Mus musculus: one gene and its partner. The protein of the gene in region 1 purifies or fractionates together with the protein of each later gene. This does not show direct contact. Links are inferred from orthologs where the notes say so. Each region holds a gene or a part of one and is shown on either strand. Other genes may lie near its edges.

Region 1 (6,083 bases):
TCTCTAATTCTATAGTCACCAAATAGCATGTCATTGTTGTTTTATCTGCTTTCCTCCAGCAAAGAGACTTCACAGGAGCTAAAGAGACCTGTGCAGAAGCTTTCTTTTGTCCACCAATAATCAACAAATATTAATTATGCAAATCATTTTACTCAGATTGTACTCTCTGTCGTTCAGGGACAGGTTCGCAAGATTCCCTTTCTCCCATTTTAGCCTTTGGGAATGCAGGAATTTGGAGGCTAGACACAGCTCACCATCCTGCTGCTACCGATCTTGAACACCAGCGCTCTTTTAATGGGTCTGATATTCCGGTCCACGGGCTCTTCTGTCTGTCCTAACTAGTTTATGGAAATATGAGCCTATGTTTTAGTAATGATTGGATATAATTAAAAGTGCTTGTGGAAGTTCTTGGCTTTTAACTTAGCAGTTTTTGAGGGTCGCACTTCCTAATTTCATCCTTAGCTTTTCTGGATCACATAAGTGCAGGGCAGAAGAGGACTTTGACAGCACATTTTGAAGGAGAGTGCCCAGGCCATACAGGAAGATGGAGAGAGACGAGTTCCCAGGCTGTAAAACAGCTCCCCAGCACTTCCAACCGAAAGCCTTCCTTAGCTAAAGAAGGAGGTGCAAATGATAGTACAGTTAGTAGACTGCTTGCCTAGCCTACACAAAGCTCTGATTTAAGCCCTATCAGCACGAAAATTGGGCGTGGTGGCACACAACTGTAATCCCAGTACTAGGCAGGTGACAAACGGGATCATCAGAAATTCATGGTCATCCTTAACTACATACGGAGCCTGAGTCCAGCCTGTACTACATAAAACTGCCTCAAACAAAACAAACAAACAAACAAACAAACAAACAAAAAAGGAACGGGAGAAGTGGGGCGGGGATGGAGTTGAGGGCGCAGTCTGGGCCTGCCTATCCTTTGGTCCATTCCAGGAGGGGGTGGGGGCGGTATCTGGGTTGCATAGCAACCCAGGCTCCTGCTGCCGGATGTCTCACCACCCCCAGTGCCCCCGGCATTGGATCCCGCGGTCTCTGGCTGGAGGTCTGGTTGGTTCTGACCCCACCCTTTTCTCCCTCCCCGCCTAGCCCAGGCTCGGCGCCGGTCGGATCCCGCGCGAGCCTGGGAAGCAGTCTGGGCGCCCACTGCAACCTTAGCCTGTCTGAGATTCCCTAGCCATCCACGCCCCCAACCTGACCTAACTAGCTCTTCACTAAGACTTCCCATCTTAGTGTTCTGCGTGGGAGACGCGAGATAGGCATGAAGCGAAAGCTCTGGGCTCAGGCCAGGCTTTGCAGTCCCAGGCTGCTCCATTTGGTCTCTTGGAGCTCGTGGAGCGCCCACTGACTGCGCATGAATCGCGGCTAGCTTCCCAGCTGGGACTCTGTAATTATCTGTTAACTAGATGCATCCCCCTATGTGCTTATGAAATGAAAATGAACCAGTGTTTCTGTGCGGATTTCTTAGGATGTGATTACACAAAGTCCTCGCCGCTCAATTCTTTATAATAAAGCACATTTCAATCATTTTACATACACACACACCCAAATCTCTTCACGAAATTGTTGCCACTATTGTGACTTTCTTCCTGGGAGTATATCTGCTTCTGGATGGGTCCGCAAGTGCTTTCTGCCACACCTGACCCTAATGTCATTATATGAATATGTAGTAACACACACTTGCTTGGAAGAGTTTTGGTAGTAATCACTCCTGACAGCTCAGAGTATAGAACCCTGGCGGAGGTTCCAACATTGCCGCCTACTGGTTAGGCAGGCTCCAAGTCACACACCCCCATCCCCAGTCTTGTCTCAAGTTCTCCACCCGTAAACTCCAGGTCTAAAATTCTATCCACGTGGGTAAGGATGGATGCGCGACCCGCAGAAACACCCTGGCTGGCATCCTGCTTTCCCCAACTCTGAGAACATTATCCGGCCAGGCTCTGGACCCATACTGACTTAAAACACAACAGCAGTGGCTCTTGGACTTCTGTTTGCCCGCGCCCTGCGCCCCGCCCCCGCCAGTCTCCTCCCGCCCCGTCCGAGCTGCGCATGCGCCGCCCCGGGAGCGTGTTTTTATAAAAGTCCGGTTCGGGCCAGAAACTTCAATTTTGTTGCCTGGTGCAGCAGGTAGCAGTGAAACCTCTGAGGCGTTTGGTGCTCCGGTAACCACCACGGCTGTAGAGCGAGTGTTGCCATGGAACCGATCAGTGTGAGTGTAAGTCCACTTGCATCCTACTTTATAGTAAACGTGCAAACGTGTGAACTTAGAGCTCAGCCCCTTTAAGGAGCGGGTTGAAGCAACTAAAACCTTGAGGGGTGTCAGGGTCACAAGGAGGAGCGGGAACTAATTTTTTTTTATGTGTGTGAACATGGCTATAGGGGGAGGAAGATAGGAATATTTTTGCCAGTAAGTTGAGTGGGACGGGTTCAGATGGAGCTTTCCTAAGGTTGCTCTTGTTTCCCTCCCCCTTGAGTCCCGCGGCGCGCGCCGACTTGCACGCTGTTTGCAAACGTCCCAGTTTTTTGAAAAAGGGAGAAGGGCTTGCCCTCTGTCCCAAGACTCAGACCATCGTCTGGTCCTCCTGAAAACAGGAGTTTTCTTAGAGTTTCTTACATTGTGTGAATTTAGAGACTTTAGTCGGCACGCGTAGGCACTACATTCTGGGTGAGCTTCGAACCGGAGCGTCTTGGAGCGGTTCTTGGAGTTAGGAGTGCGGTTCTGAAATTCCATAGTGCAGACAGAGGAGCGCCCGTCTTCGGCGGGAAAAGTGAGCTAGTCTGCCGCGTCGCTTGCCTAGAGGGGGGGCACAAACTGCGGCAGCCGCGGAGAGAACGTCGCTTTGGGATGGAGCAGCAGCGCTTTGCGGGCATCCGACCCGCCACTTCCCCGCAGTGGCAAACGAACCTCCCGAGGTCGGGCTTGCCTTTAGGATCGTTCCTGAGAAAGGGTCATAAGTCTGTACCATGATGCTGCTGGCCATGACGGCGGTTGGGGACAGGAGGGCATGTTGGGACCGCACCTGGGTTGTGCCGGGTCGCCGGAGGGATGAACAGGTGCAAGCTCGGAGACTGTTTGACTGAGCCCCAGTGTTTAACCGTCGGTGGTTTCCTGAGCCTTTTGAAACCCCCTCGCTTAGGGAGGGTTTTGTTCTTTGGTGATTTTTTTTTTTTTTTCCGTTTCCTCCGGCGGCGCGCAATTCAAAGGCGCTCGCGCTGGAGCAGCCCAATCTGTCGCTCGCACCCGGAGGAACGATCCTGGCGCGCAGCCAGGAGGAACCCCTAGAACCGCTGTGTGTTGGTCGTAGACCTGGGTATGATGGGCAACGGTGCCAGCCCCTAGGTGGGTGACTCGGACATCGGGGTGCGCACGGTCTGGACCACTCCTGCTGCCTACCTCGGACTCCAGTAACTAACTGGGTCCGCTGCAGGATGGGAAGCGACCGGAAAGTGAGGAAGTGAAACTTGGGGGCGAAAACCACGGGGTACAGACCCCGTGACTTTCCCCACCCAGGACAGTGTGACTCTAACGTCCCAGATCCACCCAGTGATAAACATGGGTTTGGCAAGAGAGACCCACCTTCCAGAGAAGCGCCGCACGGGGTGAAGTAGGGGAGTGCTATTTGCTCCTTTCTAACACTCTGCTGACCCTAAACCCCCAAAGACCTTCACATTATCCAGCTTTCTTCACTACGCATGACTCGAAATGTAATAGTTTGTGTTAGACAGACGTGAGAAAAACAAGGTTTTGCGCCTAAAAAGCTAAGAGTCTTTGGGGGACCCCCACCGTCAAGCTCCGTCTTTCTTTCTTTCTTTCTTTCTTTCTTTCTTTCTTTCTTTCTTTCTTTCTTTCTTTCTTTCTTTCTTTCTTTCTTTCTTTCTTTCTCTCTCTCTCTCTCTCTCTCTCTCTCTCTCTCTCTCTCTCTTTCTTTCTTTCTTTCTTTCTTTCCTTCCTCCTTTGGCTAATCCTCATACAGAAATCCCATCTCCTTCAACACAGACTTTAACCCCACGCCGCTGGATACCACCGCACACAGTTTTGAGAGTGACTTCTTTGTTTGAATGGAGGATTTGTTTGTTTGGTTTGGTTGTGGGTTTTTTTGGCTTGGGTTTTTGTTTGTTTGTTTGTGGTTGGGGGGGGCTTTACTTTTTTTCCTCCGAGGTTTTTTTTTTGTCCTTTCCTCTCGTGGGCGGGGCAGGAGAGCTATTCAAGACTAAGCTGTGAAGTCCTTAGACTCTCAATGTCCTTTTGTTCTAAGCAAAGACTCTCCTAATTGGTTCCACTAAAGAGGGCATATAACAAGTGACTGGTGGAAGATGGAGAACACCATTGGTTGCAGGATTCTGTGTTCTCTCTGGACCTTAACCAGCCCTTTGGAGTTTCCTGGGAAAGGTTGTGTTAAAACCTGCAATCAATACTAGCTTTTTAGGCAACAGAAACACTTAAAAATTGGGAAGGCTTGCTGACCTTGAAGTGACGTTGTCTGTCCCTGTTTCCTTTGCAGATATACACTTCTGATAACTACTCTGAAGAAGTGGGTTCTGGAGACTATGACTCCAACAAGGAACCCTGCTTCCGGGATGAAAACGTCCATTTCAATAGGATCTTCCTGCCCACCATCTACTTCATCATCTTCTTGACTGGCATAGTCGGCAATGGATTGGTGATCCTGGTCATGGGTTACCAGAAGAAGCTAAGGAGCATGACGGACAAGTACCGGCTGCACCTGTCAGTGGCTGACCTCCTCTTTGTCATCACACTCCCCTTCTGGGCAGTTGATGCCATGGCTGACTGGTACTTTGGGAAATTTTTGTGTAAGGCTGTCCATATCATCTACACTGTCAACCTCTACAGCAGCGTTCTCATCCTGGCCTTCATCAGCCTGGACCGGTACCTCGCTATTGTCCACGCCACCAACAGTCAGAGGCCAAGGAAACTGCTGGCTGAAAAGGCAGTCTATGTGGGCGTCTGGATCCCAGCCCTCCTCCTGACTATACCTGACTTCATCTTTGCCGACGTCAGCCAGGGGGACATCAGTCAGGGGGATGACAGGTACATCTGTGACCGCCTTTACCCCGATAGCCTGTGGATGGTGGTGTTTCAATTCCAGCATATAATGGTGGGTCTCGTCCTGCCCGGCATCGTCATCCTCTCCTGTTACTGCATCATCATCTCTAAGCTGTCACACTCCAAGGGCCACCAGAAGCGCAAGGCCCTCAAGACGACAGTCATCCTCATCCTAGCTTTCTTTGCCTGCTGGCTGCCATATTATGTGGGGATCAGCATCGACTCCTTCATCCTTTTGGGGGTCATCAAGCAAGGATGTGACTTCGAGAGCATCGTGCACAAGTGGATCTCCATCACAGAGGCCCTCGCCTTCTTCCACTGTTGCCTGAACCCCATCCTCTATGCCTTCCTCGGGGCCAAGTTCAAAAGCTCTGCCCAGCATGCACTCAACTCCATGAGCAGAGGCTCCAGCCTCAAGATCCTTTCCAAAGGAAAGCGGGGTGGACACTCTTCCGTCTCCACGGAGTCAGAATCCTCCAGTTTTCACTCCAGCTAACACTTATGCAAAGACATATATAATATATATATATATATATATGATAAAGAACTTTTTTATGTTACACATTTTCCAGATATAAGAGACTGACCAGTCTTGTACAGTTTTTTTTTTTTATTGACTGTTGGGAGTTTATGTTCCTCTAGTTTTTGTGAGGTTTGACTTAATTTATATAAATACTTTTTTTTGTTTGTTTGTTTCATGTGAATGAGTGTCTAGGCAGGACCTGTGGCCAAGTTCTTAGTAGCTGTTTATCTGTGTGTAGGACTGTAGAACTGTAGAGGAAGAAACTGAACATTCCAGAATGTGTGGTAAATTGAATAAAGCTAGCCGTGATCCTCAGCTGTTGCTGCATAATCTCTTCATTCCGAGGAGCACCCCACCCCCACCCCCACCCCCACCCCATTCTTAAATTGTTTGGTTATGCTGTGTGATGGTTTGTTTGGTTTTTTTTTTTGTTGTTTTTGTTTTTGTTTTTTTTCTGTAAAAGATGGCACTTAAAACCAAAGCCTGAAA
Region 2 (6,268 bases), on another chromosome or scaffold:
GTGCCGGCCAGCCAGTCTAGCTGAATTGGTGACCTCCTGGCTTAGTAAGCCACTCTATCTCAGAAAATAGTGATTGAAGAAGACACTTAGATTCTACCTCTGCCCTCTGAAATCCCTCAACCCCAGAGACAAAAACACACAGAGACACACAAATACACACACAAACACATACACTGAGCCACACAGATATACAGATAAACGCACACGCACATACACACAAACTTTGTGACCTCAAGTTTCCTGAGATGAACCTTGGAGGCACTGGGCTCCACCTCCTCAGGATGTCAGTCTCTGAATAAACGTGGTTTCCTTCTCATCATTTTCCTCTAGAAAAGGGCTGACATTCAGTGACAAGCAGTTGGACATTGGTTCAGTAACAGTGAGTTGTTGGGAGAAGGACTGAATTTTAAAAATCCATATTTCTCTGAAGTCCACATTGTTAATTCTTGCTAGTTCCTGCCTTGCAGGTCAGAGATGATTCCCCCATTGACACTGGCAGAAGGCTAAGGCAGTATATAGTTCAGTAGGTCACAAAATGTGATTCCTGGGTGTCAGCATCACTGGGAAAATGCCCATTCTTGGCTTCATCTAGAACTTTCTAAACTTCTAGGGGTTAGGTCCATCTTAGGGACATAGCACATGTATAGTATATACAAATCCAACATTAAATCCCCAGAACAATAATTTTTTAAAAAGATTTTCTTGGGAGAAGTTTGGAGTATAGCTTTTAACTTTCATCACGTTAGTTTTACCTACTATCATAGAAGTTTTCAATTGAGCTGGGCAGTGGTGGCGCACGCCTTTAGTGCCAGCACTTGGGAGGTAGAAACAGGCGGATTTCTGAATTCGAGAGGCCAGCCTGGTCTATAAAGTGAGTTCCAGGACATCCAGGGCTTCACAGAGAAACCCTGTCTCAAAAAAACCAAAACCAAAACAAACCCAAAAAAGGAGAAGTTTTAAATTATGGGGCTTGGCCAACCAATCTACAAACCTGACTACTTGGGTTCCACCCCTGCCTGATACCTGGATCCCACAGTGGGAGCCGAGAACCAGTTCCTAGAAGTTGTCCTCTGACCTCCACACTTATAAAAATAAATAAAATAGAAATGCAAAACCCATGTAGGCAAGCTGAGTGTGGTAATTCATGCTTGTAATCTCATTACTGGGAAGGTTGAGCGTGAAGCATCCTGAGCATGAGGCCAGTCTGAGTTAGTTAGTGAGAATTTGTCCCCTAAATAAAGAAAAAACTGTAGATAAAGATTATCTGGAACTAGATGACTTGGCTTGGAACCTTGGTTTCTGTGTTAGTGATCTTGGGCCAATTAATAATTTCCTTTATATTCAGTTGTTTTCTGTACAAAATAATAAAGTAACAAAATATATTTATAATATTTGTTAAAATATCTTATAGTATGCCCAGTGACAAGAATCATCTGGGATGCTAGTTTAAAAAACAAAACAAAACGAAACAAGAAACCAACCCAGATTCTCCTAGAGCACACCACTCTCTCAATATTGGGGATAAAATCTTGGGCCTCATCAATGCTATGTAAGTATCTACTAGTGAGTTACATCTTGAGCCAACTCTTACAGCTTAATCCCTAATGTGGCAAACATTGGCTGGAAGTGCAGAAGAACTTTTAAATACTTAAACACACCAAACCAAAACTAAAAAACAAAAACAAAATCCCAAAAACCCAAACCCAGGGTTTCACCACGTAACCTCGGTTGGTCTAGAACTCTCAAGATATTTGGACATGGCTAGCCTTGAACCCACAGAGATCCATTTGTCTCTGTCTTCTAATGGAACCTGAAGCTTGCTGTGTGGTCTAGGGCGTTGACTAGGGAGCTCCTATGTCTGCCCACCACTGTTAGGGGTCCGTTGGTGCCAGCTTTTATATGAATGCTGGGGTTTCAAACATCCTTGTGCTTGCATGGCAAGAGCCTTTACCCACTGAACCATCCTCCCAACTCAGAATCTTTTTTGTTTAATAAACTCAGCACATAATTCATAATATGGTAGTTTCAAAGGTATTTCGAAAAGTTTAAGTGACTTTCTAGATAGTTTCCTTACGAGGAAACAGGATAAACAATAATAGCAAAGTTTGCTAATTATCACGTGCCTCTATTATTACCACTGCACAGCCTATTAATTCGGTAGGATTAGATGTGTTTTGCCTGGGTTAAGAAGTTTAATTTAAGCATCTGAAAAGGTAACCAATGGCATCTTTCACATAGTTTTGTTGTAAACGTTTAGAAGTATGCTTTTCAGTTTTTATAACTCATGCCGCCTTGGCGCTGTCAAGCTGTCACCCTCCTAAGAACTTCCTGTCAAAAGGTGGAGAAAGGAGAATTTGAACCCAAACAGTGTAACTCCAGAAGGATAGAACCGGCACAGTGCTTCATAAATTGTGATTCCTGCTGTTAGGAGTATCAGGAGAGAACTTGATAAAAATGCAGATTATAAAGCAACCCCTATTCCATCCCAGATCTACTGAGTCAGAAACTGGCGGTGGAGCTCAGCAGTCTGTTTTTAAAAGCTGTTCAAGTGATTCTGAGACACGCTAGCATTTGGTAACAGTCTTTAGAGGTCCTGGCGGGGAAGAAGGGGTCAAAAGGAAGGAACGAAAGAAGAAAGGAAAGAAGGGAGAAAGGAAAGGAGAAAGGAAGGAAGAAAAGAAAAAAGCCTTGGAGATGTAGAGAGCAAGGCTTAGTGTCCACTTCACCTGGAGGTGAGGAAAAATGATTTAGGAGGCTGGCGCGCAAGGCCTGCTGGGGCCTGTAGTCCGGACTGCGCCGAGGAGGCCGCGCCTGCGCACTAGGTGTGAAGTAGCTCTAGTCGCTGTAGTCGGGGCTCGGGACCGGCTGCCATCTTAGCGGAGGGACTGAGGAGTCGTCGCCGCCCCGAGTCCCGGTAAACACGCGCAGGCAGACTGGGGTCATTTCTGTGGCTTGGAGGGAGTTTGGATGAAAAGGCATGGGGAATGCGAAGGGTAGAGGAGTGTGGCGCTCGAGTCTGGACCTAGAGCCGGGGCTGCTCTTCCCGCAGCCGGTGTCCGTGGGGGGCGCCCGGAGAGCCGGCTGGTGGCCCGAGCCGAGTGGCGGGTGGGTCAGCAGGTCGAGCCGAACTGCTAGTGCTTGGCCTAGGCGTCCGGAGCCTGTAGGCCCGCGAGCCCCAAGTTGGGAGAGAGCCGAGCCGCGGCGGACGTGGGCAGGGTCCAGCCCCGCGCCCCGCTGCCGCGCCCGGGGGTTCCTCTCCCGCGGCCCGGCCTACGCGCGGGGCCCGGTGGCAGCGGCCCGCCCGCGCGACGTGGCCCTTTGAGGGGCGGCGGCCGGGCCCACCTGCCACCTGGCAGGCTCCCCCCGAGACTTTTCCAAGCTCCCACTCGCAGAGGACCTTCCCCAGTGACTGCTTCCCCTTCTGTCTTGTACTTCCCTCCTCCCTCCATTGTCCCCACTCATGGTGGTCCCGGCCCAGGCCGGCGCCACCGACTTTTGCAGACGTGGAGCTGTCACAGCCCTTTCTACCGAGAGCGTACTTTTCTTGAGCAAAGAAAAAAGTAGAGGTGAGCGCATTTGAAAGGTGGAAGCCCAATGAGGGCAGGACTTTTAAATAGAAGACTTGAGTTTTGAGACATAGTTCCCGGCTGCAACTTCAAGAGAGAAAAAAAATATATAAGGGTCAGTGCACCCGAAGTAGGCATTGGGCCTAAAGTTAGAGATGTGACCAGGTGACTTGCAAAGTACCCCAAATTCACAGTTCCCCACTCGCTTGTTTTCTTGGCTGTGTTAGAATCCTAATCCTGTTGAGACTTCTGTTCCTCTTTAAGCTGCAGTGAACTTGTTCTAAAGGGGGCAGTGGGGAGAAGAGGGAGGTTTTCTTCTTCACAGTTGACAGAACACCATCTAGCCACCCATCATCATTCTCTTAAGTGGGTGGTTCTCCTGTATCCTTATCTTAAGAAAGTAGGTAAAGGCTGTGTATGTTCACTCCCAGGATTGGCAGAGGGCTTGGTTCTCATCTGAAATAAAGTCTTTTGGGGGCAAGTTTGAGATTCAGCCTTGTGTATCACAGGGTTACCTAAGGCTTAATTTTGCAGGTTTAAAAAAGATTGAAATTTTCTTTTGAACAGTGAATATACTTTGTATGTGTGAGTTCAGGAATTCAAACTTCAGATGTCAACAAGGATATATATACTATGAATCCAAAAGCAAGTGCCTAATACTTTTTACTGTATTCTAGAGTAAATTCTACATTCTTTAAAACAAACAAACAAACAAACAAAACAACAACAAAGATTTACTTAAGAGACAGACTGATCCATGGTCCCAAGGTTTGGCCATTAGTGTAATTACAAGAGCTTTTAATTTTTTTGTTTTTGTTTTGAGACATGATTTGCTCTGTATCGCTGACTGGACTAGAACACACTGTGTGTAAACCTAGGCTGGCATCAAACGTCATTCTGTCTTCCTGCCTCTCCCTCCCAAGTGCTGGGATTATAGGTGCTTAACCAACAGAGTGGGCTCGGGAGAAGTTTTGAGATTTGTTTATTTGTGTGTGTGTATGTGTGCATGCGCACACCATGACTTGAGTTGGAAGTCAAGAGTGTTTCCTCTTTCCTGTGTGTTCTAGGGTTCACACTCAGGTCATCAGGCTTGCATAGCAAGTGACTTTCCTTGCTGAGCTATTTTGCTGGACCAGGAGAGATTTTTGAAAGTAGAGTTTTCAGCTCAGTTGGTAGAGTGCTTGTTTACCACACACAAGGCCCAAGTTTATTTAGCTCTCAGAAGCATTGGGAGGTGAGGCCGCCTGAAGTACTTGAGACCCTTTTTAAAAAAGTAGATGCTCTCAGGTCTCAGTTTTGAGATAGAATAGTGGGTCTGGATTGGCTTCTATAACTTTACTTACAGATGGGCTGTAGGTAGTTGGGATGGTTTTGGGAACACTGAGGCAAATCATAGTATGGTTATAACAAAGACAGCACAAAAAGCTTTGAGATGGGGGAGGAAGTGGAAGTGGCCTGTGTGGGATTGTTGAGGGAAGTGGCAAGACCTATGTATGAAGGTCAACATGGTTAGTTCCAGGCCATCACAGCTACCTAGTGGGTCCTGGCTCAAAAAAGGGTTAGTCTATGGACCCGAGGTTCTAGAGCAGTGGTTCTCAAGCTGGGTTTTGGCCCCTTTGGCAAGCCTCTAGCTCCAAAAATATTTACATTGTAATTCATAACAGTAGCAAAATTACAATTATGAAGAAGCAGCAAAAAATAATGTTATGGTTGGAGCTGGTAAGCCCCATGAGGGACTGTACAGCATGAGGAACTGTATTAAAGGGTCACAGCCTTAGGAGGGTTGAGAAGCAGTGGGTTAGAGGATGAGTAGGAATGGGGCAGAGGTGAAGAAAGGGAAGGAAATACCTTACTACCTCGAGGCGTGTGTCAGTTAGGAAGGTGGGAGAAAAGGAGCGCAGGGTGTGGGATGCAGGGGCCTCAGGACCAGGAGGGCAAAAGGACCTGTTCTGGAAAAGCTCTGCGTACAGTGCTAATGCTCGTGAATTTGATGTCGTGAGAGATCAAGGCTTGGGGAAAGGAAGTGGTCTAAGTTGGTGTTTATTTAAAAAAAAAATGGCTCTGATGATAAAAGTGAAAGGGCCAGAGTGACTGTGGCAGAAGTGTCCCTTGTAAGTGACAGGCTGGCCTTGGCTGGGTGTTTCATTTGGCTGAAATAATAAAGTTGCTGTGTCTGTTTTAGGGCTAGTCTGATTGAAGGCTACCTTTTCTCTTAGGATGTGTTCATTAGCATCTTTGAGAAATTAGAATCAGATTAGATGCAATTTGGAAGAGAACTTGAGTTTTGGACTATAATTGATTATTATCAGCACATCAAGCCATGCTTTGTCAATGTGTTTTCCAGTCACAGAGACTTGGTGCTTGAGCTTTATATTTGGAAGAGACTGTCTGTTTTACAGTAGCAAGTATGTTTTAGGTTGTAGGTCAGCTTTGATTGGAAATAACTTCTGGAAGTACTGTTAGTGAGGATTCTGGCCATTGTGGCTTGTGCCTCTAATCCCAGCACTCAGGAATCTGAGTCAGAAGGATTGACAGCCTGGACTACATAGCGAACTCCAGGCCAGTCTGCTTCAATGTGAGGACCCTGTCCCCCTCCCCAAAAGTTGGTTCTGATTATGTTAGTTCACTGGGGAAGTACGTTATGACTGATGTGGTATCTCTAGTGAACAGTTATCTAGTAGGCAGTGTGTGTGTGTGTGTGC

Evidence for each region. Proteins that work in one complex are often made in the same cells at the same time.
Region 2: the proteins of Cxcr4 (region 1) and Itch purify together in Homo sapiens (affinity purification with western blotting; 5 studies listed by BioGRID and IntAct, with this or other methods). This does not show direct contact. The link is inferred for Mus musculus from reciprocal best matches to the Homo sapiens genes CXCR4 and ITCH.

The regions. Positions count from the first base shown.
Region 1 is NC_000067.6:128,588,327-128,594,409, reverse strand, and holds the start of Cxcr4 (C-X-C chemokine receptor type 4), read left to right. Parts: upstream 1-2,110; 5' UTR 2,111-2,200; coding exon 2,201-2,221; intron 2,222-3,684; exon of another isoform or gene 3,685-3,699; coding exon of another isoform or gene 3,700-3,711; intron 3,712-4,508; coding exon 4,509-5,567; 3' UTR 5,568-6,083.
Region 2 is NC_000068.7:155,130,672-155,136,939, forward strand, and holds the start of Itch (E3 ubiquitin-protein ligase Itchy), read left to right. Parts: upstream 1-2,809; 5' UTR 2,810-2,914; intron 2,915-6,268. UniProt on the Homo sapiens protein: Acts as an Acts as an E3 ubiquitin-protein ligase which accepts ubiquitin from an E2 ubiquitin-conjugating enzyme in the form of a thioester and then directly transfers the ubiquitin to targeted substrates.